Linked DNA regions of Oreochromis niloticus. The protein of the gene in region 2 interacts with the protein of the main gene of each other region in a biochemical or structural test. Links are inferred from orthologs where the notes say so. Each region holds a gene or a part of one and is shown on either strand. Other genes may lie near its edges.

The links.
Region 1: the proteins of prmt5 (region 2) and riok1 are reported together in a solved structure, tested with the Homo sapiens proteins (2 studies listed by BioGRID, with this or other methods). The link is inferred for Oreochromis niloticus from reciprocal best matches to the Homo sapiens genes PRMT5 and RIOK1.
Region 3: the proteins of prmt5 (region 2) and clns1a form a complex in vitro, tested with the Homo sapiens proteins (5 studies listed by BioGRID and IntAct, with this or other methods). The link is inferred for Oreochromis niloticus from reciprocal best matches to the Homo sapiens genes PRMT5 and CLNS1A.

What each region holds. Positions count from the first base shown.
Region 1 is NC_031982.2:34,661,453-34,672,761, reverse strand, and holds the start of riok1 (serine/threonine-protein kinase RIO1), read right to left. Parts: upstream 4,706-11,309; 5' UTR 4,557-4,705; coding exon 4,504-4,556; intron 3,902-4,503; coding exon 3,730-3,901; intron 1,448-3,729; coding exon 1,345-1,447; intron 1,034-1,344; coding exon 964-1,033; intron 880-963; coding exon 837-879; intron 671-836; coding exon 578-670; intron 502-577; coding exon 389-501; intron 277-388; coding exon 196-276; intron 1-195. Other genes in the region: rpp40 (ribonuclease P protein subunit p40), read left to right, coding at 4,926-5,045, 9,110-9,254, 9,589-9,657. UniProt on the Homo sapiens protein: Involved in the final steps of cytoplasmic maturation of the 40S ribosomal subunit. Involved in processing of 18S-E pre-rRNA to the mature 18S rRNA. Required for the recycling of NOB1 and PNO1 from the late 40S precursor.
Region 2 is NC_031982.2:6,913,914-6,924,445, reverse strand, and holds the start of prmt5 (protein arginine N-methyltransferase 5), read right to left. Parts: upstream 5,177-10,532; 5' UTR 5,037-5,176; coding exon 4,939-5,036; intron 4,629-4,938; coding exon 4,510-4,628; intron 3,513-4,509; coding exon 3,427-3,512; intron 3,310-3,426; coding exon 3,175-3,309; intron 3,062-3,174; coding exon 2,949-3,061; intron 2,821-2,948; coding exon 2,771-2,820; intron 2,664-2,770; coding exon 2,500-2,663; intron 2,374-2,499; coding exon 2,212-2,373; intron 1,852-2,211; coding exon 1,774-1,851; intron 1,102-1,773; coding exon 1,043-1,101; intron 825-1,042; coding exon 702-824; intron 489-701; coding exon 313-488; intron 140-312; coding exon 1-139. Other genes in the region: psmb11a (proteasome subunit beta type-11a), read left to right, coding at 7,144-7,498, 7,613-7,932; psmb5 (proteasome subunit beta type-5), read left to right, coding at 8,158-8,412. UniProt on the Homo sapiens protein: Arginine methyltransferase that can both catalyze the formation of omega-N monomethylarginine (MMA) and symmetrical dimethylarginine (sDMA), with a preference for the formation of MMA.
Region 3 is NC_031979.2:35,679,348-35,690,279, forward strand, and holds the start of clns1a (methylosome subunit pICln), read right to left. Parts: upstream 4,284-10,932; 5' UTR 3,992-4,283; coding exon 3,873-3,991; intron 2,963-3,872; coding exon 2,826-2,962; intron 2,663-2,825; coding exon 2,522-2,662; intron 2,404-2,521; coding exon 2,293-2,403; intron 1,402-2,292; coding exon 1,396-1,401; intron 602-1,395; coding exon 428-601; intron 1-427. UniProt on the Homo sapiens protein: Involved in both the assembly of spliceosomal snRNPs and the methylation of Sm proteins.

The DNA.
Region 1 (11,309 bases), about 28 Mb from region 2:
CAGGTTCTAGCAATCAGAACAAGTTCTGACAATGGGACAGGTTCCATGTTTTTAACAGGTTATACAATCAGAGCGGGTCCATGTTATCAGTAAGAACATCTCTAATGGACTCTAACGCTCAACACAGGCTTTACTGGGTTCTACCAGTCAGAACCAGTTCTGTTTGGTTCTGGGTGTGGTTACAAAGGTTCTGACCTGATGAGGTTCCTCATCTCCTTCTCTGCCCATGTTCTCACCATCTTCCGGGGGTTTCCTTTACAGTACCCATGACGGAACCTGCAGAACAACAGGACAAACTGTTCCTGAAGGAGCCTCCTGCTGTACCTGGAGCCAACAGGAAGTGCTCGCGGTGTACCTGAGCGCTGTTCTTCTGTGGTGCCGGACTCACCTGAACTCCCCGCTGACGTACTTGTCGCGGTCTTTGAACAGCAGGATGGACGTCTTGTAGATCTTGATGGCTCTGCTGTCCCCAGCTGCTGTGCTGGCGTGATAAACGTTTGCCTGAGAGGGACGAGTATTGATCAGCGCATGTGTAACCATTCAGCGTATTGATCGAGCGATTACTGAATGGTCTGACCTCCTTCCCGGTGCTGATGCAGCCGTTGATCTCGGAGATAATTCCTCGACTCAGCATCTTAAAGAGAATCATTCGAGTTCGAGGGTCTAACACCTGAAGAAGAAGAAAGCATCAGCTGCTTATTGATCTTCACCTTATTATCTTTAACCTCCTGGCAGTTCTTTCCTAAAGAACTCAGTAAAAGTGGAAGCGTCACATCACAACAACAGTCGCCTTAAGGTGCTCTAGATTGTAGGCCAGAGCCGCTACAGGAACTCACCTGTTCTACTGTGGCTCGATCTGATTTGTCCTTCACTCTGTACCTGTGGAGAGAAGCCAATCAGGATGTGAGTCACAGCAGGAACACCCCGGCTGATGTCAGCATCATCAGCTGCTCTCAGACTCACGTGTCGGCTTCCCTCTGTTTCTGCATCGTCGTCACTTTATTAATCACCGAGTCTGCGTAGTTCAGTTTGTCTGCCAGAAAACAAAGACGATCAATCACTGCAATCGATTCCTGATCATAACTAAAAAGCCTACACCAACGTTGGACCAGAGACGCAGACTGGAGGATGCTTCAATGGCTCCAGACCTCCACAGCGGCTTATAGCAGGCCGTTGGGTGCAGGTGATCAATCAATATGATCAATATGATCAATACTGGCAATCAGCTGTAAGCAGACAGGTCGTTCTGAAAGGCGGATGAAACGTCACATCGATGTCGTTTAAGAGCTTCACGAAACTAAAAAGCTGTGTGTGTGTGTGTGTGTGTGTGTGTGTGTGGGGTACCCAGGTTGATCTTGTGTTCATATTTCCTCAAAGCTTTGTCAGATGGTGTTGATGATGGCAGCTTCTTGGACGGATTCTGTCTGTTGGACTGCAGACGGAGACTCTGTGCACAAAAATGACTCAGTTTATAACGTCTCTCTCTCACACACACACTCTTCGGCATCAAGCTAGCACTACAGAAGAGGAGCAATGCTGTCAGCTCATTTCTATTAGCTGACACTTATCAGCTCAACAAACATCAGCAAACACAAACTGTGCAGTTTGTCTCAGTGTGTTGCAGCTAAAGGTTCAGCTGCTGTATTTGACAGAGAGAAAGACAGAGAGCTAAGTTCACTCAGAGATGGAGACAGATAAGAAGGAAGGACAGGAGAGGAAGAAGACAGCTTAGAGTTAAAGGAAGGACGCTCATTTAAAGCTCACATGGAAGTCCTCATGGTTTTAAATCTGTCACATTGTGTTTGTTCATAAACCTGCTGCTAATCAAACTGAGGCAGACTGACTGTGTTATTTAAAGGCTGCATGAGAATCCTCTGCAGGATGAACAGGTGAGTTTGCTGCACTGTGATTGGTTTACAGTAGAGTCTGTGACTGCTGCACAGTGGCTGTGGGTTCATGCTCACAGTTAGCTTACAGCAAGTGTATGGAGGGCCAGGAGTACCAAAAACAATTAAATAGCCCATTAAATAATTAATTGAATGTTTAAGTAATGAATTAAAATGGAAAGAAATATGACTCAAGAATATGAGTTTTACATCTGCTCACATCTGGATGAATCCAGGTGTGTACATCCACAGAGAGCAGCAGGTCAGCTGATCACAGCCTGCACACTAAGAAACTCTACTGGAGCTCTCAGTGGAAATGACTGAGTCTTTTCCCCACACTCAGACATTACAGCTGATTTAAAGGTTCCTCCACCTGCTGAATCCACGTTAACCTCTGACTGTACACGTTCCTGTTTGGAGACAAAGTCACCTTCTACAATGGAGGCAACAGGAAATAGAGACTTGTTTTTATTTCTATGCTTTTTATTCTGATTCAAGCTGAGAACAATTAGAATAAACAAAGATAGACTAAAGTTTGTATTCCCATCTATCTATCATTTTATAATTATGTTAATGTAGCACAAGGTTCAGTTAGCTTTCCACAGAAATAGTCCTCCAAAGAACTACTCATCTCCTCCGTTAGCCCTTCTGTTACCTCCTCTGTTAGTCTCTGTGTTACCTCCTCTGTTATCTCCTCTGTTAGCTCCTCTGTTAGCCCCCCTGTTATCTCCTCTGTTAGCCCCCCTGTTATCTCCTCTGTTAGCTCCTCTGTTAGCCCCCCTGTTATCTCCTCTGTTAGCCCCCCTGTTAGTCCCTCTGTTACCTCCTCTGTTAGCCCCCCTGTTATCTCCTCTGTTAGCCCCCCTGTTGGCTCCTCTGTTACCTCCTCTGTTAGCCCCTCGGTTAGCTCCTCTGTTAGTCCCTCTGTAAGCTCCTCTGTTAGTCCCTCTGTAAGCTCCTCTGTTAGTCCCTCTGTAAGCTCCTCTGTTAGTCCCTCTGTAAGCTCCTCTGTTAGTCCCTCTGTAAGCTCCTCTGTTAGTCCCTCTGTTAGCTCCTCTGTTAGTCCCTCTGTTATCTCCTCTGTTAGCCCCTCTGTTGGCTCCTCTGTTACCTCCTCTGTTAGCCCCTCGGTTAGCTCCTCTGTTAGTCCCTCTGTAAGCTCCTCTGTTAGTCCCTCTGTAAGCTCCTCTGTTAGTCCCTCTGTAAGCTCCTCTGTTAGTCCCTCTGTTATCTCCTCTGTTAGCCCTCTGTTGGCTCCTCTGTTACCTCCTCTGTTAGCCCCTCGGTTAGCTCCTCTGTTAGTCCCTCTGTTAGCTCCTCTGTTAGTCCCTCTGTTAGCTCCTCTGTTAGTCCCTCTGTTATCTCCTCTGTTAGCCCCTCTGTTGGCTCCTCTGTTACCTCCTCTGTTAGCCCCTCGGTTAGCTCCTCTGTTAGTCCCTCTGTAAACTCCTCTGTTAGTCCCTCTGTAAGCTCCTCTGTTAGTCCCTCTGTAAGCTCCTCTGTTAGTCCCTCTGTTATCTCCTCTGTTAGCCCCTCTGTTGGCTCCTCTGTTACCTCCTCTGTTAGCCCCTCGGTTAGCTCCTCTGTTAGTCCCTCTGTTAGCTCCTCTGTTAGTCCCTCTGTTAGCTCCTCTGTTAGTCCCTCTGTAAGCTCCTCTGTTAGTCCCTCTGTTAGCTCCTCTGTTAGTCCCTCTGTAAGCTCCTCTGTTAGTCCCTCTGTAAGCTCCTCTGTTAGTCCCTCTGTTAGCTCCTCTGTTGCATAATCAGGTGTTCAACACATACATCATCCATCCTTCCATCTTTTAGACCTGGAAGACTCTGTTGGTTCTTTGACCTCTACTCACTTCCTGTCTCACCTGCAAGCCACCCGCTGCCTGGTTGTATCTTTTGGCCAGATCTGCTGCTGAGCTCCAGGCCCACTCATCCTCATCATCCACATCCTCCTCCTCACTGAAATCCTGCTGCTCTGATGAAGGCAGTGCATCACTGATGCGAGTCAGCTCCACTGACCTGACACTGCAGAACAAAAAAACAAAAGAACAAACAACAAAAACACAGTCAGAGCTGCTGAAATCTCTGTGAAAGTTACTCATACAGCAAACAAGATGTAATGATAAGGGAGGAGGCAGCCCTGGTGCCCCGATGGTCAGGAGGGCAGAGGCCTGAGCTGTGAACTGGTCCCCTCTGTGGAGCTATCAGAGCTCCTCTGTGGGTTAAAGTCGTGGTTCTGTTCTTGTGGCCTGAAGCCTGCTGATTGTATTTATGTAGTAAATATGATGAGCTGAATTTTACCTGACCTGAAACAAGAAGCCCTGATGGCGAGAGGCTGGTTTGTGTATGGGACTGAAACACCGACAGCACGGCCATGGAGACTTACACTGAGAGTGTGTGTGTGTGTGTGTGTAAGGTGACGTCAGTAAACATGACAGAAAAGCTCACACATGAAAGCATCAGCTGCTGCTTCACAGCACAGAAACCCAGGTTACACCTGAGGTTACCTGGACAAGACTGAATCCTGCTATGGAGTGCAGGCCTTAGGTGACCTGTTACCATGGTGATTTAGCCAGGTACAGCCTCACTGTTTACACCGCAGCATCAAAACAAACGAACGAACTCACCTGTCCTCCTCCGCGTCATCAAACTGCCCAGGTACACACGCCGGCTCCGCCATGACGTCAAAGCCTCTCACACAGGTAAACACAGGTAAGCGCTGAACCTTCGAGACCGATTGTGCTGCGCCGCTCCTCGTGTTTGCTCCACTTCCGGGTTCGACCACGTGACTACGGAGAGCGGCGCGGGTCGGAGGATGACGTCACATCACATCCACCGATCCGTCTCTCTCTCTCTCTCTCTCTCTCTCTCTCTCTCTCACACACACACACACACACACACACACACACACACACAAACGCCCCATTCACCCAACAGCCGGAATATCCTCCAAAATAAAAACAACGAACACTTCCGGTTCGCTACCGGGAGCTTTTAAACTGAAAAGCCGCGGCCGGAAACACGTGTAGTTAGCTCGCAGCCGAAGAAGATGACGTCCTCGGAGCTGGACCGGACTCCGCGGACTCTGTTGGTGTCGGAGAGCTCCAGCTTCTTGGACCCGAAGAACCGGATCAGCGCGCAGGTGCAGCAGTTGCACTTCAACCACCAGGTGACGCTCTCACCCTTCACCTCTGACCTTTCACCTCCGAGCCGTTAGCTTCACAGCGTCGGGCTCACGGACGGCTTCATGTAAATTTAAAGTCGTGTTTGATCGAGTGCAAGGAGAGCAGTCACGAGTGGAGCAGTGCTGAGTATGCGGGTGGAGCAGCAGGGCTCAGTGTGCGAGTGGTTCTGTGGATGACCGTTCAGAGCATTGAGGTGGAAGGATTGCGTGTTCAGAGGTGAGTCAGCAGTCGCCCCCACAGAGCGGCTTTACCAGAGACTAACTTCAGGATTTGGGAGTGGAGAGTATGGATCTGCAGTCCTGACCTCAACCCCACCCAGCACCCGTGGGAGCTGCTCTGAGAGGTCAAACCTCTCAAATCTTTCACATCTCAGAACACCGCCGTCACTCCTAAAACTTCCCCCCGTTTCTTAACAACTAGATGCCACGTTGCCATATCATTTTTTTGATTGGTCGACACGGTACTTTTTTCGACTAATAGGAAAGGGTGGGGGGTTTTTTGGTTTTGTTTTTGCTCACAGGCTGAGAGTGCTTTCGAGCGTTTTCCTTATAAAACGCCGTTTTTACCGTTTCTTCCGGCAGTAAATATAAACAACGATAGTATTCAGGAAGAAAACCAAACATTGCAGATATTTTTATCATAACTCTGGTTTTACGTGGCCGATCAACACAATTTAAAAACTGGTATAAAGTCCACACTTTGTCCGTCAATTGTTCCGTCTGTCCTGCTCACATCCATAGCTGGACTGGCCATCGGGCATACCTATGGGCTCAAAATGTGGTCATAAATATTTTGTACTTGTAAATCAGTTTTGTATGTGTAAAAAGAATTTGTGCGTGCGTAAAAAAGATTTGTGCGTGTGTAAAAAAAGATTTGTATGTGTAAAAAAGATTTGTGTGTGTAAAAAGAATTTGTGTGTGGACTTAGCCAAAAACCCCCCTGCAAGTTACAAGTACGAATTTTGACCCTATTTTTCTTCCTGTCATCTGATTGGTCAATGTCATGTCAATCACAAATGTAACAATCCAATCAGAGAACAGATGGGTTTGGCTGTCGGAGGGGCACTTTTTTGAACTGCAGGTCCTTGAAGGGAATAAATGCCCTTTTACATGCCAACCCAGCGTTTTCCTTCATCACCACAAAGGAAAACAGTCTGTGGTCATCCGAGTTTGGTGATTTTTGTGTCACAGGTCTACGTGCTTTATACAGGGACTTCCACAGCCTTTTCAACAGCGCTGCGGACCGGGGGGGCAGTGTTTTGGAAATGACAGTCTTCATTACAAAGCTTTCTTCGTTATGAATTAGCATACATGTTTTTATTGAACATTTGAAGAACTAGCAAAAAAACCAAACTCTTGTAGAGGACATAAAGTCAGAGACAGAAACGACAAGGAGCAGGTGCATCTAGTACAGGTAGAGCTGCTGCAAAAACCCACAGAGCTCAGCAGCCAGCGCAACAAATTCTGGATCCTTTGCTTTTAGTTAGCAGTTAGCATTAGCAGCACATCCTGCGTCCGATGTGAAAGGACCTTTATGCTGCGCACTGTGACTCACAGCAATGGTCCCGGGTCAGCCCTGACTTTGTGTTAAACTAATCCTAAAGTAATAATGGTATTTCTAACCACTGACATACCACAACTTTATCCTTTCAACAGCTGCTGAAAGTTAGGGGACCTAGCTGCTATCGGATATTTATATAGAGATCCTCCAGCTTCAAACTGTATTACCCTTCAAGGACCTGCAGTTCAAAAAAGTGCCCCTCCGACAGCCAAACCCATCTGTTCTCTGATTGGATTGTTACATTTGTGATTGACATGACATTGACCAATCAGATGACAGGAAGAAAAATAGGGTCAAAATTCGTACTTGTAACTTGCAGGGGGGTTTTTGGCTAAGTCCACACACAAATCTTTTTTACACATACAAATCTTTTTTACGCACGCACAAATTCTTTTTACACATACAAATCTTTTTTACACACAAACAAATCTTTTTTGCACATACAAATCTTTTTTACGCACGCACAAATTCTTTTTACACATACAAAACTGATTTACAAGTACAAAATATTTATGACCACATTTTGAGCCCATACATACCGGGCATTTTCCCGGTGGGCCGCTCGTGATTTTTCGTTTTTATGGGCCGATGGGGTTTTATTTCTTTTATTTTTTCAACGGTATAAATGAATAGTGGTGTATTGGCCAGTTGGTCATGATCGACTCTGGGCTGGACCAATTACAGCCGAGGAGGTCGAACTTTAAAGTTGAGGTGAAAAGCAACGCGATTTGTCCCGATCAGCTGATCAATGATCAATGATCAGCTGATCGGCTTTTCTCTCTGCGTCAGAAAGAGCAAACCAGCGGAGGTCGCGTTAAACAACAGAAGCACCTTTAAACTTGATGAGCTGTTGTTAGAATTTATTTAATATTAATTTCTAGTATCAGCTGATGTTTGCTGGAGGGATGAAGGGTTGAAGGGAAGTTATGAACTGTTTCTGGGAGACAAATAACACCAGGATCCTTTTCTAGCTGACAGCTGGTAACTGTGCAGGGGCGGGTCTAGCAAAGTTTTGCCAGGGGGCCAGGTAGGGCATTAACAGGGAAAGGGGGGCACAAAAAATACGTTTCTTTCTTATTCTCATTTGAAATTTCTAGCTTTTAACAAATAATTATCTGAGTCATACAACCAAAGTTTTCATCTGATGTCAAATGTATAGAAATCCATTATTGTACATAGTAATTTTTTTCAGGGTCCCAACATAATTTCTTCAGAAGTAAGTACTGTATATGATGCCAGTATTTTCCCACATTTTCTAGATACTGTACCAGTACTGTGTGTAAAATACCATCAAAATTAAGTTTTGATGGTAAGTTTTGAGTGAGGAAGTTTTATTCTTTCTCACCTTTCTTTCTGTCTCCTTTCACTTTTTAAAGGTTGCCATGTTACAAAAATATTTTGCCCTGCCATGCTGTTTATTGATGTGGTAAATAAATAGTTTATGAAAATATCACTAAATCTGTCATTTATTATTTTTAATATTCAGTAATGGTCATGTCTCACCTCTAGGCTTCTCTGTCTTAATTTCAAGTTTCCACCATATGTTGTAGAAAGTTCAGGAGGTAAACCAAGCAGTCTTTGGGTTTCGGCTAAGTACTGTTTAGAATACCAGAATAGGGAGGATGGTGTAGGTTTAAGTTCTAGATTGATACATATATACCAACAAGACAGTGTACATCACTGTCACAACGACGTTTGTTTTCATTCAAAGGCTCTCTAGTTTTTCCCATAATACCTGGTGGGCCGGTCTCTAGTCAAAATGCCCGGGCTAATTTTTTGTCCCAGTCCAGCCCTGCTCACATCTCCAATGGTTGTACACGTTGTCATTAACGTGGCTTCACTGCACATCAGCCACGCCGCTTTGCTAGCTAAAACACCGGTGTCGGCACATAAGGACGCTGTCATAGCCTGTCAGCGACGTTGATTGGCTGCGTATATACGAATGTGAATCGCATTATTGGCTGGACTATAGGATAAGGTGGCATCGTTCTAATCCCATACAGGAGCAGCCAGTCACTCACTGACTAACACTGCAAAACAGAATTGTTAAAGTTTTAATATTAATTTCAATTCGGGTTAGATTTTTTTTGTGCGCAACGCAGATTTTCTGTGCGCAGAGACCGTGCCAGCAGTGCGCAATTGCGCACGTGCGCAGCTTAGAGGGAACATTGGTTTCCACACCACTGAAGTCGTTTTACCTCTTTTCAACCAACGGCATTCTTTCTTCAGCAGCCATTATCCTCTCCTCTCCAAATAACTTCTGCTTAGCTTTCCGAGCTTCCCTCGGGTCCTCTTCACTGTTGTGACGCGTGTTCGAAACGCAGAGAGGTGCGCTCGATTTGCCACACGGAGCAGCACGAGAGTAAAGCACGAGGGAGGTGCTAATAATCGGCTCAGTCATTTTTAATGATCGTTGAAAACCCAGATCGTAATCGAGATTAAAATTCGATTAATTGAGCAGCCCTAATCAGCTGTTTCAACTGTGCAGGTGTCTGTGCTGCTTCCTGAGTGTAGCTCCGCCCCCTCTCACCTGGACTCTGTGTTGAACAACTTCAGCAGCTTCTACCTGATCAAGAAGCTGCCGGTGTATGAGCTGCTGGACCGACACTTCCTGGAGACGGCCGTGTACCACGGTAACACACCTGTGCGCACACACACCTGAGCTCCATTCCAGGAACAAAGTTTTAAAAGAAACCTCTAAGGTTCCCAAACAGCTGATCGGAGTTAGTTCCATAATTTCGCCATGGCAACGGGTGAATAAAGAGCACGGGCTCCATGTTAACCCAGAGGAGCAGGAATATGAATCACGTCATCGTCACAAAGTTATCGTGACGACTTTGAGTTTCAGCTCTGAACTTTAATTTATATCCAATGACTCAGCTCCAGCCTGACATTAGTTACCCATAGCAACAGACTCACACACACACGCCCTCACCTGTCCCCCTGCTGTGACTGTCTGTGTTTCAGGTGCAGTGTTCGGTCTGTCCTACAGGACTCGCATCGATGAAGATAACTGCGTCGCACTGATGCCAAACGGTAACATTTCTTTTTTCTTTTTTTGTAAACTAACCTTTATTTCCAACATTCCCATTAACAATGAACATCATGGTCATCGTCACGGTGCGGGGCGAAACAGGAAACTGAGACAGTGGGCGCGCTCACCCGGACACATGCTCCTCGTTCAGAGACGTCGCAGAAACGGTTCCTCCGAGAAAACGACAAACTTTGTCTTTACATTCGTAAATGTCTGTCTGCGAAGGCGGAGTGTTACAGGAAGTGACATCAGACCGAAGCGGCAGGTTTTTCACATCTGTGTGGCGACGGGAAGATCCAGAGGAGAACCTGAGCAGAGCTGGAACAAAGGCGTGTTTTCCAGCGTGGAGGCGGGATGCTCTGGCGTTTTTAAATCACGCGGTGTCTGTCAGCGATGTGATGTCATGCCATAAAGGTTTGAAATCACTGATTGGCTTGTTGGATCTGTGGTTAAAACAGCTGTACTGCGAGAAGCTGCTGAGGAAAGCTGCAGAGTCGTCAGGGAGCAGGATGAACTTCCAAACAGGATTGCGCCACCCTGTAAGGGTTCAGAAGAACAGATGTTTGATGTTTGATGAAAGACCCTCCTCCTTTCAGCCGCAGAGCTCTGCAGGAAATTGTAGTCGATCCTGATTAGATGAGAACCTCTGACCTTCTCCTCAGTCAGCTGGACTCCATGATATGTGACAGAGCTTCTCACAGAAATACTGCATGCTGATTCGCCAATAAAAGATCTCTCTGGTGGTAATGAAATGCTTTGAGAAGCTGGTCCGCAGACACATCACAGCAGCACTGCCCCTCAGCCTGGACCCACACCAGTTTGCCTACAGAGCAAACAGATCCACGGAAGACGCTGTAGCCACAGCACTCCATGCTGCCATAACACACCTGGAAGAGCATGGGAGCTACGTGCGGATGCTCTTCGTGGATTACTGCTCAGCTTTTAACACCATCCTCCCACACAAACTGGTGGCCAAGCTACAAGACCTGGGGCTTCCATACAGCACCTGCACGTGGATCTATAGCTTCCTCTCGGGCCGTAGACAGAGAGTCAGAGTTGGCCATCACACATCCTCAGCCCTGAGTCTCAGCACTGGCTCACCCCAGGGCTGTGTTCTCAGTCCACTGCTCTACTCTCTCTACACACACGACTGCACTCCTCGCCACCACAGCAACATCTTTGTGAAATTCGCAGACGACACCACCGTGGTGGGGCTCATTTCCAAGAGTGACGAGTCTATGTACAGAGATGAGGTGGAGCAGCTGACGTCATGGTGTAAGGCCAATAACCTCCTCCTCAACACTTCAAAAACCAAAGAACTCATATTAGACTTCAGAAGGAAAAAGGCAGAGATCCAACCACTATTCATTAATGGGGACTGCGTAGAGAGGGTGGCAAGCTTCCGCTTCCTGGGAGTCAATATAGAGGAGAACCTTTCCTGGAGTGTGAACACCTCCGAGCTGCTGAAAAAGGCCCAACAGAGACTTCCTGAGAATTCTCAGGAGGAATAACATCACACAAAGACTGCTGGTGTCCTTCTACAGAGCCACCATCGAGAGTGTACCAATCTATTGCATATGCATTTGGTACACTAGCTGCACAGGAGCCCAGAGGAAAGCACTCCAAGGGATCATTAACACCGCCCAAAAGATCA
Region 2 (10,532 bases):
CGCACAACATAGGGCGTCTCAAAATGGGACTCTGGGTCCTTGTCTCGTTCCCGGCACCCTCGTACTTCATTGTAAAGCTTAGAGGACGACAGAGGAGCCAAGTAGGATGTGTATGAGCAGGGAATGCTCACTCCATCATCTGAAGGTGAGTTGATATAAAAAAAAAAAGGGGAAAATGAAAGTAATTAAAGTCAGGAAGCATTAAAGGTGACGCTTTCAATATGGCTTGGTGTGGCAATGTAGAAAAATGACCTCTGATGACTCTGCAGTGTCTACATGTGTAATTAAGTCTTCATTAAAATCCTGAAATACCTTTGAGAAAATGCTGTGCTCCATCTAAGCACTCTGGGGAGAGTTCATTGTCGCCAAATGATCCGAGCAGCTCGCTGACAATGATGTCAGCTTTCTCTGGTGCGGCCCACTCCCGCATGTCACATGACACCACCGTCACCTGATCCCCCCACTCCTCAAAGCGCCAATTCTCTAGCCTAGAGAACACACATCAATAAAATAAGCGTTGAAAGTTTCAGGCTTCACTTCAATCCCCTCCTGACTTACTATAAATTCAGCTAGAATCAAAGGCCAAGCTTTTATCCAATCTATAGACTCATTCAGGTAGCACAATTGATCTGTTGCATGTGGTAATATTTTTGCTTGTACACTGTGAAACATGGAACATTTGAAAGCATTATTTTACTCACGTCACTACAGCATTGGGATTTTTCTCCACAGCATACACCCTCAGTCTCCTGTCTGCCTGCCTGGCAGCACGCAGGGATGCATTGACCAGAGGACCCCTACCTGCTCCCAACACCATCAACACCCTGTGGAAAAAACACATCATTATTTTAGACAAGGCTGCTACCCTGGTGGCTACCACTGAAGTTTAAACAGTCAGTGTGTGTTATCCTGTTCTACTTCCAGTGAGACTTATAGGAGTATATTATAAAGTGCCATGATACTGTATGAATCAATATCTGGATATAGTTCCTACTCCACAATCTCATTTGTGACTCTTTATACAATAATTTTAGATACTTACTGAACATTAGTGTCCTTTTGCTCCTCTGGAACTCTGTCTAGCAAACATTTATATACAGCCTGCACACGCAAAGAAAAAAACAAAAACAAAACAGGTGTTAAATACATTTTGCCTCAAACTCTTAGAGACCATTTAAACCCCTTTGCTAACACTAAACACCTGAATGTCAGTGTTTTTCAAATGCTACACGAGTGACAGTCTGTTTTGTGTGGATAAGCTCTACATACACAGACACAATAACTATGCGTATCTTCACATTCAGGCTGAACAGAGGCCGATGCAAATGATAATGATTAGGGGCAACAGTGTGGTGCGGTGGTGAACACAGTTGCTTCACAGTAAGAATGTTCTGGCTCCAAGTCCACTGGCTGGATCAGGGCTTTCCAAGAAAATGGACAGATGGATAATAATTACAAGCTCATAGGTAAAAAGCAACTGACCAATATTGAAAACTGATACCATCCACTAAGGAAACATGAGCCAGGAACTGAATTTTCAAAATAAGTGCAAAGGGATTGTCCACTAATAAAATGAATCACAGCTAGCCGTGTTCTCTGTGATGGATAAAAACAAATGCACTCGCATCAACATATCTGAACAGTCTGCCCAAGTAAAGTCTGTGTAGGGGAAACAGATTTTACTGCATTTGTATGTCTACTGGACAAGCAAAGACCTCTCTGTAACATCTGTGCCATGCCTCCTCATACCCAAAAAATGTCTGACTGTCTTACTTGTTGGTACTGTGAATACTTAATAGGATCCTTCTCGAACACTTCGTATGTCTGAGACTCCAAGTTGTCCATCAGAGGCTAAACAAAGAAAGCAAAACATGATGTTAAAAGGTCCTGATTAGCAGGTAAAAACAAAACAACAGCCTCACAGTTTTACAATTCTACCAACCAGTGAAACTGCAGTTTCCATTCGTATCTCTTAAGAGAAACCTTTTGAGTATGCCATCAATTCATTACTTTATATTATTAGACATGTGTACAATATGTCACAATTAATTCTTGACTTAAAATGTATATTTTGCAAGGTCAGTACTTTTGACCATAAAAATCTAATCTGATGTTCCTTCAGTGATCCAACCAGAAATAACTATACATCTAGCTATGGCTTCCAGTTGCACAGAGGCATAAAAACGTGAGCATGAAAGTGTACTTCCTCACCTGTAGAGGTGACTGCAGGTAGTCTTCATAACCCTTAGCAAAGAGCTCGTAGGCATTGGGTGCAGGCCTGTTCTGGTTGAGGTACTCCAGGTACTGCAGGTAGGATCGGAAGTCCTTGTCAGTGTGCCGACTGGTGCCTGTGAAGATGAACTGGGCCTCCAACTATAAAAGAAGATCATTTTAATTTAAAGATTTTTTTTTCACAAGTAGACAAAAACCAACCTTTTTGTATTTGACTGCAGATTGAGTTCTGTTAAAATCAAACAATCTATGAATGTTAGTTTATACCTTGAAGAGTCGAAAGATTACTCTCTGATGGGCTTTCGACAAAACAGGGAAGCCCTTCTTATTGGTTAGGAAGATGCTGGTGGGGAGAATGGCTGCTTTGATAGGTTCTCCGAGCCATTTATCAATCACAGTGTCTGATGGCATATCTGGTCCAATTTCAACCGCTTTAGGAATACAAACGAAGCACAATCTCAGTAACAGACAGGAGCATAATTATTTCTCAATGCCCAAAGGTTGCCCCAGGTTGCTGCTTCAAAGTGTGTTCTCTCACCAAGACAGATCCTCTTGTTGTAGTCACAAAGGGTTCTGAATGAGTTCCACCTATGAAAAAAAAAAAAGATGAGGTAAGTAAACAAAGACAGACACCGTTTTAAAGGAAATCAATAGTAACCGTTTCAGCATGCAGACGGCACTCAGTTGCTCAGGAAGTGCTGTGGCATGAAACTAACCAGCTCCAAGTCTTCTCATCAATGCTTGTGTCATCAGTACAAGAGATCGGTTCATTCTCAATCAGATCTTCCCGCATGTCCTCTGACGCCATCAGCGGGACGCGTATCCAGAACTAATCAACAAAGAGGACAGCAGCGGTTAAACGAGGACTTCTACTGTCTGACTTTTCTGCCATCTTAACGCAGTCTGTGTGTGCTTGTCGATTCCTGATGTGCTGCGTCTTACATTTGAGGTGTGATGTCCAGTGTGGATGTGATTTAGCAGCACTCGGGCTAGATTGGCATTACTGGGGCCCTTCAGAGGGATCATGAAGACAGGCAGGCCCAGGTAGGCAGAAAAGTTTAGCTCCTGGGTAAGAGCCTGGAGAGGAACATGGGAAAATAGGTAAGATAAGCATTAAAGAGATGACATGATAACCTCACTCATATCACAAGATCAAAGAACCCTCACAAGCACCATCAAACTCAAAGAACTTACAGCCTCTGAGTTTCTGCGTTCTGTCTCGATTTCTGAATCTGCATCGATCCACGGAGAGAGCTTCCCAACAATTAGAGTATTCCAATCTAGACAGAACAAAAGGACGTTTTAGAGAAAGCATCAAACACCTAATCACTTTACCTTTATGCTAAAATCACATCTTTCTTATGATAGAATATTTAATACAAAATATGAAAATGATTAGAATTAGTGTCTTAACATCTACTTTCCTTCTTAGGCTGGGCTTTAGCAGAACAAATGGCATTTTTAGGATTGGTCTTTCAGCACAACCTACTTTCTGATGAAATTTGGTTTGCAGGCAGATGTCCTGACATAAAGACTTCATTGCTCCATTAATGTTGGCAAACTACCCTGCTTCAGATGCAGCAAAACAGGCCCTGACCATGATACTACCACCACGTTTTTATGCTTTAACTCTGTGTTTTCCTTACTCCCAACAGAGTTTTTAAAACTTAAACTAGCAAGTTCTATTCTGGTCTCAGAAGCCCACACAAGATTGTTCAAATGCTCAGTATTCTTTTTGCAGAGTAGTAGCTCTCTTTTTAGTACCCTGCTATAAACAACACGTTGTTCAGTGGCTGTGGAGCAGAGGAAACCAAACTCTGTAGATATGATTCTGTAACCCTTTCCATCCCGTTGAACATCAGCAGTTCTTTCCTGAAACTTTCTAAAACCTCATTTATGCCATGACACACTTACACAAACATATGTTGTCAAACTTTGATAAATTTATGTTCTATGAATAAAAACTAATTTACTGAGAATTGTAAAGGTTGCAGTGGTTTTGGTTTAACAGACCTAATAAGAAGTTAATTTTCCACTTTTAGGACTGTGAAAACTGACTATGCTGAAATATATTTAATATTACATTTAAATATAATTTAAAGTGACCTTGACGCCCCCCCCACCCAATAAATAAAGGGCACCAGTAGACCCCACCATGCCCCAAAATGCCCTGCACAGCATAACACACTCACTGTTTCCTCTCACTTTAGGGGGACTGATGATTTAATGGCTAGTAATGCCTCAGACTGCAGAAGACAAAAGGGCAGGAAAACTGACCTCTGCCACATAACAGCAGGTCGGACCGGGTCTGGGCTCCAGGTCGGGATTTAGCGGGCTCCAGCTCATATTCCCTCCTGAACCTCGGGTGGAAGAGAGGCATGCACAGGAAGTCGAACCTGGATAGCAGAGGAGGGAAGCACGTTAGTTAACATTCAAAATATTTATAATATCAACACGAAGTGAAACACAAACCTGTTTTCTAAGTAATCCTCCACACACCTTAAATATACTACGGGAGTAGAGCCTGTGTAGTGCACACTTCACTACAGTGTCAAGCATCGTTGTGATTTGGGCACGTGCTGGTAATTCACCGGCTAGCTTAGCAACCATCACGCACTGAGAACGTGCTAGCAAAGCAGCGCGTTCTGCTCATAAGCTCATTTCGGCCAAACAAAAATTACATGTAGAATCGAAAAACCATCTTACCCAAGTTTGGCGACCGCGGCTAACGTGTCGGCTATCTCTGGCACACAATTCAAATCTCTCCCGCAGGACACCCTGCTCCCTGTGCTGGCAGACGCCATGACTTTAGCCGACTGAATGAATTGATTTCTCGGACTTTCACATTGCTCTGCCTTTCGAAGAAACTGGCGCCATCTTGGCTCCTAAGGAATGCAATGCTTGCTGGCTAACAAACGTGAGACAGAACCAAGATGGCTTAATGAGTGCACAAGTTGCATATCGCGTACATTGTCGCGATAATTGTGTACCGAGCGTTGTTTAAACGTTGCCATTTGATGTTTCACGGCGACTTCTTTTTCTAAGACGAACGCGCTTGCTGTACTTTGATAGAGAAAATAAATGAAATAATGATTGAAACCAGATTTGAGAAATAAAAACCCAGCAAGCCCTTTCTCCACTGTACAAATACAAAAAAATATTTACTACTAGCTGATAATGGGGACAATTTTTTAATTTTTATTTTTAATTATATTTAATTGTATGTTTTTTGTTTTTTTTTAATATACAGATTAAAACGTATTGTTTTGTGCTGCCTGTCTGTTAGTCTTTTAAATGTGCTGACAGCCTCCCGCAGCTCGCTGCACTCTACAGTACACGGACGTCTTGTTTCTGCACACATTGTTAACTATTGTATAGTTTAACGAACATTGACCAGAAATGATTTAGATAGACTTTTTTTAGACCCACTCCTTTAACCACAGAACCATTAAAATACCACAAACACACTTCACTACACATAAAACTGGTTTATTTGTCAATTTGTTCATAAATAATTAAAATTAAAAAATAATTTTTCAGCAGAAAATTCAGTGTTATGTGAAATAACATTACTGCTGAAGATGTTTTAGCCTCAGATGATTTTAAAAATGTCATGCTCTGTTTAATCACAGCAAAAAATCCTGGCACAACTTCACCTGCTTCCAAGGTGCATGGAGAAGATGAGAGAATTAAAAAACAGGAACTCCAGCAACACTTGAGGAAAGAAGAACAACTTTAATAATTGACCAACGCGTTTTGGCTTGTGGCCTTCATCAGGGTCATAGTAAAACACGTTGGTCAATTATTAAAGTTGTTCTTCTTTCCTCAAGTGTTGCTGGAGTTCCTGTTTTTTTAATGCTCTGTTTAATCTACAGTAATCTGGGATATTCTATAAAATTATGCTTGTAGTTGCTGCTGGCCAAGGTGGTCAGTAAGGCAAAAACTTGTCTGTTATGATGATATATCACAGAAGCTCCTCTATTTGCCAATTCTGGCTGTGTTTTCACATGCGAACACAACCAGAAAACGCTGCAGGCCTCTGACACTGACATATGTGTGAAATGGAAACACCTACAGTTTCCATTGGGATCCAGGCAGGCGTGCTTTGTGTGGAAAGTACAATAGCCAGTTGCAGCCTACCAATGACAGTGTTGTAAAGGATGGATGAAAACAAGCGACAAAGTTTTATGACAGAATGCTGTTTCAGATGAAAGACGAAAGATCACTTTCACTTTGGTACGTTTTGATTGATTTCTATTTATAGATTCAGCTACAGCACCGCTTGCTTTGCTTGTCCTTACTGAACTTCACTTGTAGGACTTGCAGAAACTGGCTTCTGCGGGTATCAAATTCACAGCATGTAGGCTAAAATATCACTTACATAAACCATAAATGGTTTTGGATATGGAACACGGCGTGTGTATATGTGTGTGTATTTCTACCAGCTGTCACACCTGCAAGAGCTATAAAAGCGCAAGAACTCAGAAGCAGATGAGAAAGAGTAGCAGCATCCGCCCTCTACAAACCAGACCTGTTTCTTTGACACTTAAGATTGTGTTTGATCAGCTTTTCAGTGGATAGACTGTGTTTGAGAACAACTTTTATTTACTTTTCAACAGAAAAGATGTTCTGATTTTGTGATCAAGTATCTGTGTCTACACCATCATGGCTTTGGAAGATGTTTGCAGCTTCAAAGAAAGGTCGGTGCAACATAAATGGTTTTCTTTTTCATCCCTGGGGGATGCAGCAATTCCATTTCCTATGAGTGACCATTACAACCTAAGATACTCAAGACTGGAAACATCTGAAAACAACTGTGGAGTACCACTGCATTTTTTTATACCACCTCTTCCACATTCCTCCTCTTTCATTAAAAGGCCGTTGTCATCCTTCTGCCCACCCAAAAATTCAATGACAGTCCAGAGGCCTTTCCGTTTGGCTCATGGAACAACAACCCTGGGTTTCATCTTCCAAGGTGGGGTAATAGCAGCGGCAGACACACGTGCCAGTGCCGGGGGGCTTGTTGCCTGTCCGGCTGTTCATAAGATCACCCCTATTCACTCTCATCTAGTGGTCACATCCTCTGGTAGTGGTGCAGATTGCATGCTGTGGGAGCGAATTCTGATTAGAGAGATCAGACTGTACCAGTTACGGCATGGACATCGCCTTTCAATACGTGCCACAGCTAAGCTCCTTTCATCTATGCTTCATCCTTTTAAAGGTACTGAAATGTGTGTTGCTCTTACGCTGTGTGGTTGGGATAAGCAAGAGGGTGCCACTGACTGTGCAACAAGTTTGGAAGACTCATCCTGGATGACTGATGATAGCTCCTTGGCTGTTTTTAGTAACCAAAACATTACTGCAACAACTTCTCCTAACAGCGGTCCAAAGCTTATATATGTGTGCAGTGACGGAGCCCGACTGCAGGGAGATGTCTTCTCTGTGGGCTCAGGCTCACCTTATGCTTATGGAGTCTTGGACAGAGAGCTGAGGTGGAGCCTGAGTAAAGGAGAAGCCATCTCATTGGCAAGAGAAGCAGTGTTCAGGGCCACTCACAGGGATGCCTACTCGGGGAACAATGTGGACCTTTTCCACATCACAGCCCAAGGATGGAGCCAGAGAAAGAGAGAGGACTTGAAAGAAGAATATTACAGAGATAAAGAAAAGAAGGGAAAGAAAAAGAATGACAAACTCAAATAATACTCAATAATCAAAAGCATTTATGTGTGGGAGGAATTATGTTGTTATATTTATCATTGAAAAGTAAATTTAATAATTATAATAATAATAATAATAATAATAGCTGTGTAATAAAAGGTATTTCCTTTACCTCATGCTTTTTTTTAACCAATACTCCGCCACAGACACAGGGGGCGCTGTGTGATTTTGTTACCATGACAGAATAAAAAAAAACTACCGCGGCGGATGTTGCTTGTTCATCATACATTTTCAAAGATGGCTCTTGCTAGTGTGTTGAGCGGTGATTCTGCGGATTTTTCGTTTGATAGTAGCCAGTCCTTTGCTTTTGGTGGTGGACCCGGACCTAGTGGTCTGGGGTTAGAAGGCACGCCCGGGGACAGCCTCAGTTTTTCCGTTAAAAACCCGCTGTGTGTCGGAGACGATGATGGCGTCGAAAGGAAAATAGAGTTTCTGCATGGAACCACTACCTTAGCATTCAAAGTAAGTTAACGGTCCAGTTATTGTAGTTATATGGTATAAGAAACCCCACAAGCAGTTGTATAGCTGTCGAAACTAGACGTTTGATCAATTTTGACTTTACATATCATACGCTAGTGTTTCCGGCACAAATTGTCTCTGATGTTAGCATGCTAGCGTGGCTACAAATCGCTTTCTCATGACAGATGTGCATGGTACAAGGGATAGGTGATGTGCACTTAAGTAAACGTAAAAAAAGTAATCTCTCTAATATGTTTACTATGTCTAGTCTTAAGAGAAATCGTGAATTACGTAGGCTTACGTTGACGTTCCTCAGTCAATTTAAAAGCAAAATGTGGGTGTTTTAATAACATAGTCACGTGAATTTATATAATTGGAAATCTGACGTGTTCTTCCGTAAAAAGTGCAGCAGGTACACACTTTTTGATGGTTACAACTTAAAAGAGCTACCTAAACGTGTGTTATTTCCAAAGTGATTTGTGCTGAGTATGTAAATGTATTGCATCCATAGGAGAGCCTAACCGATACAGGATATTTGGGCTGATAATATACATTTTTAAGGGTTTTAAAAGAAACTCGTGCCTTTTATATACTTGAAATATGTTCAGTTATATACTGAAAAGGCAAAATGGATGAAAATAATACTAATCGCCTACCACCTCTTCAACTTGAACCCCAACTTTTTTGTGTAGCGTGTTGTAAACAACAGAAGCAGCCCCAGGTGTTGGGGAAAGTACACGGAGAGACCACTTCTCACTTATCTCAAGTATCGTTTTATATATTTTGCTCCGAGGAACGTGCACATATCGACAAATATATTAAAATAAAAATGTAGTTGACCTGTCTAAAAAAATTGTAATTGATACTGGCCAACTATTTATTCATCTAAAATAATTTACTATCAAAAGAATATTACATCATTGCTACCTTTTTGTTAACACAATTTGCAACAAATTTCTGTCAATATTAATACATGAATGAAAGTCCATATAGCGTTACATCACATCATGTTTGAGGTTAAAATGTGATGATCTTTCATTATTATGTCATTACTATGTTCAGTGACATTGCAGTAGGAAGGAGAAAAGCACAAAGGTCCTTTAATAAGATTCCTGTTAATTGTATTCAGATGTATACATGTATAATGTGTTGAATGAATTAAAGTCACACTTTCTGTGTCTTCTTTTTAACTGTGAGTTCTCCATACCTGCTTTTCTAAATGTTATTGTTAAAACAAACATGAAGTTTTGTTGGAAGAAGACGTTAAAGTGTATTCGATTAGTCGTGACTGTGATGCGCACAGTAAAAACAAAATTGCGTGCTCATGAAAAGAAGCCAAGAAATCTGTAGAAAGTGGAAAAGTTCTTTTTGATGTTGTGGGAACATAGATCAAAGTAGAAAATCTAAAAGGGGGAAAAAATAAATCTTGATTTCTAGAAAGTTTAAGGCTTGCTGCTGGGTTTTTTTTTTTGTTTTTTTTTTTGTGCTGTAAAGATTTAAGCAGTGTCCCTGAGGATACATTTATTTGTAATTAACAATCCTTCGTTAAAGCACCAAGATTCCATTGACAGGCTTATAAACTGGCATATACAATTGGCGATGCATAAATATATTCTGCCTCTGTGCTGTAGAAACCCCTGATTGAAAACATTTAAAACAGCATGAAAGAGCCTTGCTGTTGATTTGTCATCACAATTGAAAGCAGCCATTGTAGTCTTCTCCCTCAGTTTGTCAAACGCTGTAGAGCAGTGTAAATACAGAACCATATCCCTGCTGCTGGCTTTTGTCTCTTCAGGGGATTTGTTGATACAAGTAAAAGATAAAAATAACGCCATCCTTATCCCTTAATCCCTTAATGAAAACATCCCCCACAGACATCTCCCTCTGACTGGCCAAATCTGTTGTCTACTATACTTGCTTCTGTGACTGTCAGTTCACTGATAGAGGATTTTGGAAGGAAGAGCAAAAGTCTTTCCTCTTATCCAGCAGCTTTCTGCTAGAGCCGAACCATATATTGCACCTCTCTGACAGCTGTAGAGCAGCAGCTCTTTTTTTGCCTCATTTAGGCAGAACTGCTGCAAGCGATCTCTTACTTAAATTTAGAGCAAGTGACTCTATTCTGT
Region 3 (10,932 bases), on a different chromosome or scaffold from region 2:
GGCTGCTTTGATTGACAGGTGTGTCACCACAGGTGTAGCTGCTAGCTGCCTGCTAGGCTTCACCTCCACTCTGTCTATGCTGCTGATGCCTCCTGAAGCATTTTAATGAATTTATCTGACAAATACAGTTTGTTGAATAAACCAACATGGTGGCAACCAAAACACTAATGCTTCAAAGTTCAGATAGCAATGGATGACAGGCTGCATGCCGATCAACCATCTCCTCCTCCACCTTCCTGATACACATCAGAGCAACGTTGAACATGAGTTGACCTTTTTTGTATCTACGGTGTCATTTTGTTTAGTTTTAGTCTGGAAACTTTTGTAATTGTGTCCCTCACATCTGTCTCATCGTGCTCCGTGTGTCATATCATTACTTACAAAACTAAAACACAAAGAGCGACAGGTCGAGGTTTATGTGACTGACCTTCAAACTCGGCTTTTGTTTCTTCCGTCCGGACTCCAGCCATGTGGTACTGCTGAGCGACTGACTGAGCCAGCATCCCCTCTAGCCTCTCCAGCGTGGCCTGACCCTCCTGCGTTAGTGCCGACAGGCCCTCGTCGCAGGTGTAGAAGGTCGGGATGTCAGCGTGACCGTGCTCTAAGCAGGTGGAGGAGAGAGATGGTGACGCAGCAGCAACAATTTAAAGACAAATTCTACCTGTGTGTTTTTGCTGTAACATGATAAAGGTGTTGAAAGCTTTTACGCACACAGAATATAGCTCCCAGACTGATATCTAACAACGACTCATGAATTCTTTCTACTGTTTCTTTGGTTGTTGGAAGAAACAGTGGCATCTCCAGTCTGCCCTGTAAGTCTGACATCATTAGCCGTTCCATCTAAAGATGATGCACCATGTTCTGAGGGATTTCTGAAAAACTCTGCTGTCACTTCACACATAGACGAACACAGAGAACTAAACAGCTGTGTACCCATTCAAATCAATGTTAGTCTCAGAGTGACTCTTTTCTGACAACATCAAATATCTGGTGTCTGGCAAACCTGAGCCGCTGGGCTGTAGTTACACCACATGGTTTTAAAAACTGAGCTTTAAAATGTGCTGCAGATGAATAGTGGTAATAAAAACCCAGAGAGACAGGCAGTGATCACTGACTAATTTTAAGGACTTGTTCAGATTAAATGACACCTTAAAAAGACAACAGCAGTTTGGACCTGGATGCAGGGTTCACGCATCATCACTTAACAACAGGATAGCACAATCCCCTCACTCTTATTTTGAAAGTTCAGCTGCTGATAACCATCTATTCTCAGTCCTGCTGCTTCTTCAGTGACATATTTACAAAGAGTAGTGTTTAATTCCACCTGTCCAAACTGCACTGCCATAAACATCAGTTACTCTGCTCAGCAAGGTGTTTCATCTCATTTAAACTTACCAGCCTCTGCAAGCAAACAGTCCGAGTCATCAGTCCGTGAAGGGGAAAGAGAAAAGACAGAAGGAGAAAAATGAAAAGACTTTTACATTCAGACAAAAGAAGTATTTTATCAAATGTTCTTTACAGTAAACTATTTAAACTGGAACTATTTGGTAATCCTTATTTTCTGTCATATATGCAGCTACAATGGTGCGTGCTCAGAGTAAAACAGCCACCATAACAAATCACGAGGTCACCATACTAACAAGTAATCATTATGAGCTTTTAAGCGCTTATTAATGAGGATTGGTTTATAACCTGGATCTGTCTAATCTCAAACATGGGGACATCCATAATGTGGCTAGCCAGACCGTCTCTTTGCAAGACAAAGCTAATCAACAACAATTTCCCTTGTGGGATTAATAAAGTATCCATCCATCCATCCATCAGAAGGAAGCTAAAGGAGTGGAGCTCCTCTGGAGGGTGGAGCTAAAGGAGATAAACGGGAGGAGTTTGTGTCAGACAAAGGAGGATCGAGGATGAACTGGTGCTGTCGGAAGGAGGAATACAGTAAATATGAAATGTGTTTAAAGATAATTCAGTGTCCAAGAATAAAAATTTAGGTTGGAAATGAGCAGAACAGATCAACTTTACAAGAACAGCCATTGGTGATGTAAGAAAATCACTTCAATAGAAATACAATTAGACACAAAGCCAATTCTATTCTGTATTCACAAATACAATAAAATGCTTAAAAAGAAAACTCAGTTTTTTTCTGGAAAGATTTTCTGTTTCTGTTTTGTGTTTCTGAATTAATTTGAGGATTTAGATCACTGTTTGTTGGAATGTGGGGAGCTGTTGTCTTCTTTGTGTCTGCTAAAGACAAATCTGCATCTATGCATTTGAGTTTTGCCTCACCGGCTTCCTCCACGTCGTACTCCTCTCCTTCAAAGTCGTTGTCCGAGTCGTCATCCTCGGGATCGGGGTGAAGCGCCTGGCACTCGCACATGGCTGAGAACATGGACTCCACTGCAAGTAAAGCACACAAAGGTATAAGTGTGATGCTGCGCCATCTCCAACTGTTGTTTATACAGGATGTGCAGCCATGTTGAAATGTCTGCTGCTCATCCCCAGCGAGGTCACTCACATGCCGCTTTGTCGCTGGGAACAAATCGAATCTCTGTGATCGTCCCTTCGTCTTCATCATCGTCACCACCATCACTGCTGCCGTCATGATCATCATCATCATCATCAGCTGCTTTCTCTGCCATTTCTGCCTCGTTCTCTTCTGTAAGGAGAAGTCAGCAGTGACCCAAAAACTCCTTCAGAAACTGTAAAGAAACTATTTGTACAGAACAGGTCAAACACGCTTTAACAACCCCGAAGACTGGACTCCCCCTGCCTAAACAAGTAAAAAGAGATATGAAGTTCAGATGTAAACTTCGCCTCACTGTTGAGTTTGCCGTTGACCATGACGTAGAGGTGTTCCTGTGGGTAAGCGCTGACGTCTCTGGAGATGGCGTGCAGTCCGATGGAGGGATACTCCAGAGAGAAACCCAGGCCTGAGCTGTCAAACCACGACAGGCGCCTGATAAAAGGAAAACAAACTGCTTTAAACAACAGCACTAAACAACTTTTAGATGCTTTTAAATGTCTGTCAGGCTTATTATCTGACTTTTCTGGCAACGACTAATTACGGTCTCAACTGACTATTAATTTATCAAATGATATTTTCAAAAATGTTAAAAAATTCCAACTAAATTACTTTAACGTTGTTTGCTTCTACTTCCTGAAAGTAAAAAAATATGTAATGAGACAGTATGTAATTGTAATGCAACAGCGTGGGTCTGTGAGAAATATAACACAGCTGTAAAATCTGAATTTACGCACACAATGTTTCCTTCCCAGTTTATTGCTGTTTTGCGCTTATCCAAAAATTTTTACTAGCTTAAGAAAAATAAATAAGAAATTAAATTAAGAATTGAATAACTGAAATAATATAACAACACGAAGAAGAAAAAGAACGCAAAGACAATGTAAAAAGGAAAGAAATACAATGATAGCACAGAAACAAATTCCAAAAAAATACAAATAAAAAATACATTTATTTAAAAATAAACATGAAAGAAAGGAAAAAAGAAACCCGCCTTTTAACATTACCGAGAGTCTAAGGTATACAAAAACAGACACAAAATATATCATGTTTACGGAGAGGTACAAGAAAAAAATGTAATATAAATAATAAGTAAACATATTTCTAATACTGGATTCAAAAGAAGACATCCACATTTTGTTCTGCAACGTATTATTTTGAAAGACTGTGCTCCGGAAGTGATTTCAGCGCACGGAGCAGACGTTTATTTTTGTGTCTATAATGTAAACTGGTGTAATTTCCAATAAAGGGCGCGTGAAAGCCCGATAAGAACCTCAATAAACACGAGCCTGAACCCCAGACCCACGAGCCAAAGAGCAAAGCATGCGCCACGTGCACCACTTACGTTTCTGCGACGTAGAGGGTGCCGCAGCCGAGCCGCTGGCCGTCCATCACCGCCGTGGTCTCGGCTTGTTCGTGTCTCACTCCCTCGGTGGGAGGTTGGAGGTTTTTCAGTAACACCATAGTCCTCGGTCCGCTGGGACGGGAAAGAACAGAAACCGGTGAAAACGCGCTGCTGCGTGATAAATTTTGTACTGGCTAAAGATGGCTAATTTCACCCGGGGTAACTTCTCAGTGCTAAATCAGTGTCGGACAGCTGGAGGCGAGAAAACGGCAGCCGTGCTATAACGCTTCGTCCCTTGGATTAGCAGATCCGGGACGGAAATCTTTGAGTGCGAGAACAGGCGTGACAAAAACTGAAAACACTGGAGTTACAAAGTGCTGGTTCAGGGTGACGTCACGCTGAAGTATCGCGACAACACAAAACTCCCAACGAGAATTCACACACTCCAGATTGGCAGTTTGAAAAGCTGCCGCGAGATGGAGCTGCTCCCTAATCTTTTATTCCTAAAGATGTGGAAACATAAATTCTTACATTATTTACAAAAAAAAGAGTAAAAAATAAACATTCTAACAAAGACTGAGCATATAGACAGTACAAACACGATTTTTTAAATAAACAAGCACAAATCAACAAAGTAAAAATAAATGATTATCTGTATAAAAAAAGAAAGGACATATTGAGTAAACACCACTGACTTTATAAGATTTTTTTTCTTTCCTTTTTTCACTTGTTGGTAAAGACATTAACTTAAGGGTTTCCTCACTGGTTACAAATTTGAGTGACTAACTGAGGAGGTTCAGTAACTGATTTAAACACTGCCTTAATAAAAAAAGAATCATTAATATTCAAAATAGTAACTCATTACGTTTGGATTACACTCCAATTACACTGGTCCACATAAGAAGCTGCTTAGCAAATATAATGTGCATTTTACAGCTGATTAGTCATTTGACATCAAAGCTTCAGAGCTCTGAAAGATCTCATTTTCACCAAGATTTGAATCCCAGGATCATCTTCAACCTGAGAGTCAAAACTATTTTATAATATACTGAAATTTTTCATGATTCATTTGTGTGTTCACATTTAACGTTTTTGTTCTGTTGGTATTTTTGTCAATTGAGAGAGTGGAGAACAAAAATATTACAAATAAGTTTGATCCTCATTATATCGGTTTCTTGAAAAATTGTTTGGAAACAGAATAAAGACAGAGTTTGTAAGGACTATAAGGTTTACAAGCACTGAGGCAGTTATGCAATTTTCTAATCTTGCCTCAGAACACACACACACACTGATTACTCATTTGACATCGAAGTTTGGGAGCTCTGATCCGGTTAATTAAATCCTGCAGTGAAATATGGGGATTGTGTGTTTATTAAAATTAAAAATCATCATGGAATCATTGATAGAAGAGCATCAACATTCAGCCTGTTAAATTAGATTTTGATATTTTTATTAATGGCCATAATTGGCCATTTTTGGCTACTTTTGATTTTACTTTTGTATTTCATCACCTTTAAATTGTTTTTACATTTTTTATTCTTGCCTTGCCTTGTTTGGTATCAACCTTTTCAGCACAATCTCACATGTCTGAATTTATTGGCATACTGTATTAACACAACTGATCTGAAATCACACAAAAACATAAAAAATGAGTAGAAAAAGGCTGTCATTGTTTTTGGTTTTGTAATGTAAAAACCACAAACATATCTACAGAATTATTTTCACAGCTTGAAATGCAAAAATGAATTGTAAATTTAAAAAAAAACAAAAAAAAACCTAGGCACAAATGTTATAAACAATAAAGTTCATACAACTATTTACCTAAAAATGTTGTCAATGCCTCAGGTGTTTTTTGAACAACCACTTGAAAAACTACTAAAATTAAAATGAGAGAACAAAGGAGCTGTAATCTGATGGAAAAATATAAATTATATTTAGAGATGAAACAGAAGTCTGAACAAGTAACACTGAAGCAAACAGTAAATGAAACATGAAAGTTGTACAAATATCAGATTTTACCTTCACATCTGCTTTTGAGCTTAGAGTATGAGGACGTTTTTATCAATGGTTGCCTTTTTCCATTTATTTATTTAATTAATAATTTACTTTAATTAATAATTGGTTTAAATTAAAATGAAAGAATGTTTTCCAGGAATACTTTTAGTGCAGTGAAAAATGTCTGAAAAGTCAAGCTGACTGTAAAGTTTGGTCTATTTGACATTTTCAGTTTTTGTGAAGAAAGCGCCACCTCTTGGTGCCACTCTGTAACTGAATGAAAGGGGAGTGTAGAAAGCCCAAACACCCCAGGAGGAGGAACGGCCAACAGGTGGAAACTGGCTGGCAGTTCGCTGGTAGCTATCTGGGGGTGGTCATTCTATGTGGGCGTACCTGTACACTGAGATGCACAGACGACTGGGGTAGTGTACAGGAACATCTGTGTCACATGTCGATTACAAGTCCTCAACTCCAGCTGTGCTTCACTGTTGGAGGTGGTAGAGAACAACTGGACTTAGATCCTGTGGGACACACATCAGCCTCCCAGGGGTGTGAGGGGAAGATAAATGTGATATCCAGTTTGTTGTTTCTCATCTCTCTCCTCAAACCAGGAGAGAACTAATCAGATTAACAATCGCTTTAGAGTAACAACTTCTTTAAGGTCCTGAACCCAGATCGGTGACATCATGGAGCCATGATCCTTGGTGTTCTTGCTCTGGCGAGGATAAGAAAGGACAAAAGTGATGTTAAATCCATTGGCACAAGCCACACGTTAGTCTTATTTCGGTATCAGTGAACCTCTGAATGTTTTGCTGTTTGCCACTGTGTCAAAAACACCTTAGCAGTGTATATAAATGCACGTGGCTGTTATGATGTTATTGCTGGTGTGTGAAGCGACCAGTGCAGTGGGTGTAATGGTTCTCTTAGCCTGAACTGTTTTTGGTGACTGTAGAAATTGGAGCTCCTTAAGAAAACATCCAAACCCCTCACAGAGTTCTGACCAGGTTTGATCCCAGGATCCTCTTACTGTGAGACCACAGAGCTACCCACTAAGGACAATAACACCTAGACCCTAATGATTTACATAGCACTTACGAATTGGAGAAAATGTTTAAATTATGAAAAAAATTAGATTTCTTGAGTTTTTCTGAGTTTGAGAGAGTACAAAGATTAGTGTGACAGTTTCAATGAGACTATCTGGAACAAGTTAAAAACATTTCCTTCTAAATTCTCAGTATTCACTTATCAGCATTCAGTGTGTCAGATGTAATCTTTTACTGTTCATGTGACTTTCTGAGAATGTATGAAAAGTGATTGGCTCTCCCGCAATGTTCTTGTTTTGAACACCCACAGCAGGACTGAGGCCACGATTACAGTTCCACCTCAACTTTTATCCTAAAATCAGTCAGGCTCGTGCTTCACTGTAAATGTTTTTCACTGATTGATGTTGGTGATATTATGTGATCGACAGTGCATTTTATTTTCATGTCCTTCATCCTTCTTTTATCTGCATGATTTACACTAACTTATCAGTGCACATTAAAGAAAAGCAGGACGACATTCCTTAAAACCTTTCGTTTGATCATTTCTCAAAAATAAGATGAAATGAACAAAGTCAGACTGACATTTCCCTCTGAAACAATCACCATATTAATAAATGATATAACAGCTCTGTAACATGTTTCACTCTACATCAGAGACATGTTAAAGCGTGTTGGCTGCATATTAACTCAAAATCCTGATTATTTGCTTGAAAATAAAGTTTGGGAGCTCTGATCCAGTTTATTAAATCCTGCACTGAAATATGAGGATTGTGTGTTTATTAAAATTAAAAATCATCATGGAGTCATTGACAGAAGAGCATCAACATTCAGCCTGTTAAATTAGATTTTGATATTTTTATTTCAGAAATGATTCCTAACAAAAATGGAGAATATAAAAACACAGTGAAAGCAGTAAAGTCCATATTATGAAGTGTTTGCTGTATCAGACAATCATGTTTCCAGTCTGCTGCATCACAACAATTTGAAATGCAAATATAAATGATTCACAACAATGAAAACAATATAGTGCAGATAAACATGGTGCTGTAATGAATCTGCTCTTAAACACAATAACAAAATACATTTTCCAAGAGAGATGATAATGATTCACATCAGAGTGAAGAACGAATACATTTACAACTGGTTTCTAACATTTATTATAGATCGAACTGATCACTGATAGAAACAGAAGAATATTCACAATGATACTCTGAGAGATACATGAATGACATATGGATAAAAAACAAATCACATGAAACAAAAAAGCACATAATCATTCTAGGTGAAATAAAAATGAGTACAAAAAAATAAGAATTAAGTCGAAAAATTAAAAAGGCAAAATGTTTAAAATATATAATCAGATAAGAGAGCGAGCTGTCCAGTCAGGTCACAGATTCATATCTACAATAATACTTTTGTTTGTTTTTGTTTTTGTTTTTGTTTCATCAATCCTAGGTCCCTGTATTAATATTAACACTATTATGATTACTTATAATAATAATGTTGTTATCATTATTACCATTATAAATGCTGATAAGCATATTAAGTGTGTGTCTGAGCTGAAAGCCGCTCTCCTCTCCTGGTTTTCTGTATCACACAGACCACAACAACACAAAGCATCACCTGCAGACCGCTGAGCAGTATCCACCTGACTCTGTAGAAGGTCGAGTAAACCCCAAAGGGCTCTCTGTGGATCAGAACTGTTTTTTCTGCTGACACACACTCAATCTCTGACTCTAAAACTGTACACCAATACTCTCCTGCATCTTCCAGTGAGACATTAGACATTATCAGGCTGTCGTTGGAAAGAAGGATTCTGATTTGATTTTCAATAATCTCAGTAAATTCAATGATTTTACCTTCTCTTTTTATCGATTTCATAAACCACCAGGGCTTCATACCCAGTTTTCTTTCAGTAGTACATGTGAGATTGACATCATCTCCCTCTGAGAAGACCTCTACTGCAGGTGGACCAAATTTGGGGCACACCAAAAGTTTATACCATTGTTTTATGGTTTGACCTCCACAGGTGTACCAACCTGAATCATTTAACATTAGCAATGGAAGCACCAGCGAGTAGTTTTGACCGACTTCTTCATAAGTCTTCGAGCCCATTTCCCACTTCCTCCAAACCGGGTGTGGGTCATGAATGAAGGGACACTGCAGCACAGCTGTGTCTCCCACTGAGCCATGGACTATCTTTGCTGCTTTGGTCAAACGTACTGAGTGAGTGCTCACACACTGCTGTTGGTTCATCACCAGGCAGATGTACAATGTTTGTAATGTGTTGAAGACATGAAGAAGTGATGCGTTTTTCACCTCCAGGAAACTTTCTTTTAATCTGTCCACCTTCAAAGCTGTGCCATCATCTAAAACTGTTAGCTGTAAGTCTTTGTCATACGTAAAGTCATGTTTGATCCACTTCACCGTCAGATCCTCACCTGCTCCCTCACATCGTACATCCACTATGGCTTTGTGTGTTACATTACGCGTTGTTTCCTTACTTACTTTCCTGCACACAGTCAGGCTGATGTTTCTCTCATATGTCACGTTGCCCTGAGTCCAGCACACATCTTGGTACAGTCCAGAGTCTGAGTGGGTCAGGCTGTTGAGAGTAAATGAAGGAGAACCATGAAATGTCTCAGGAAATGAGAGTCGTCCTGTCAGGTCTTCATGTACTGTGACGTTTCTGTTCCAGGGGTCAGAGATGTTCCACAGGACCAGAGTATCTTCACCAACACGTCTGGAGGTGATGCAGGAGCTGTTTTGATCTGGGAGCTTGAATTCAAGAGAGCCTCCTTCTTCAATAGTGAGGATAAATTCTTCTGCATGAATGTTGCTGATGAGAGTGAACAGCAGGGAGAAGCAGAGCTGTGTGACTGCAGCCATCCTGCTCAGAGGTCTCCTGGTGAGTGTCGTACAAACACTGACACTGCTCGCTTCTTGAGCGTCCTGTTTGTGGTTGGAGGAGGAACGCCACTTCTTTATCACATCATCAAATTTATTCATGAAACATTTGACTGGTTATCCAGTGGTCTGTCTGCTTATTTTGATATTTTGTAGCTGGATGGCAATATAAGATATATATCTCGATATTTTTTTTAAAACCATAAAGTAAGAACAAAAAGAGAGTTCTTAGTCAAAGCTGTGTCCCAGATGCCACACAGGCACTTTTATTAACATACAGCAGAGATGTACATGAAAAAAACTACTCAAAAATAAATTATGAGCATTTATTAAATAATGATGCTCTATAAATAAAAGAAAACTATGTTGTTTTGTGCATAACAAAGAGCTCACAATTGTGCAGTCAAAATGTAAACTAAAAGACGCTGAGCATAATAACATAGACAGATTTCACAGCTGCTCTGTTCCCATCTTCTACTGCGTGACTGACAGCCTGGAGTTTGAAATCTGCTTCGTAACCATGTCTCTGAACAGGTGCCATTTATGGTCCTTATACACACACAATACGGTAATATTACATTGAAGCACAGTACGTATCACTCCGCGAGGCTCCTCGGTAGCCGTAATGCTCCGACAATCCATCAAGCGGTGCAGCTCCGTAGCTTACCAAAGTCGAACTAAAACATTTTTTGACAGATTGCTGAGCGCTGTGTATCACATAAAATCGGTTCGCCGTCATCAAGCACAACCAGAATTCATACAAAAGGCGCGCAGTCAACTTTTGAGAAGATGAAAGGATTTCAGGCCGTGCATGGCATTAGCGTGGCTAGCTCGTTAGCATGGTTAGCTCGTTAACACGTTGACGTCCAGCTCTATGGCAAGCCATTAGTGCCAAAATTCGCCACTTTTCTAACCCGTTTGGTTAAGAAATGGCGTAAAAAACGCCATTTAATTATTCAAAACGCCGTAAAAAACGCCGTTTTTATGCATCTTTGAACGGCGTTTTCTGCCGAGTGGCGGAAAAAACGGCGTTTCCGTCTGTCTTTGAACACCGCTTTTTACTTCACTCGGATGGTGCGTTCAGGGCGCCATGTGAGAGTGGGAAAAAACGGCGT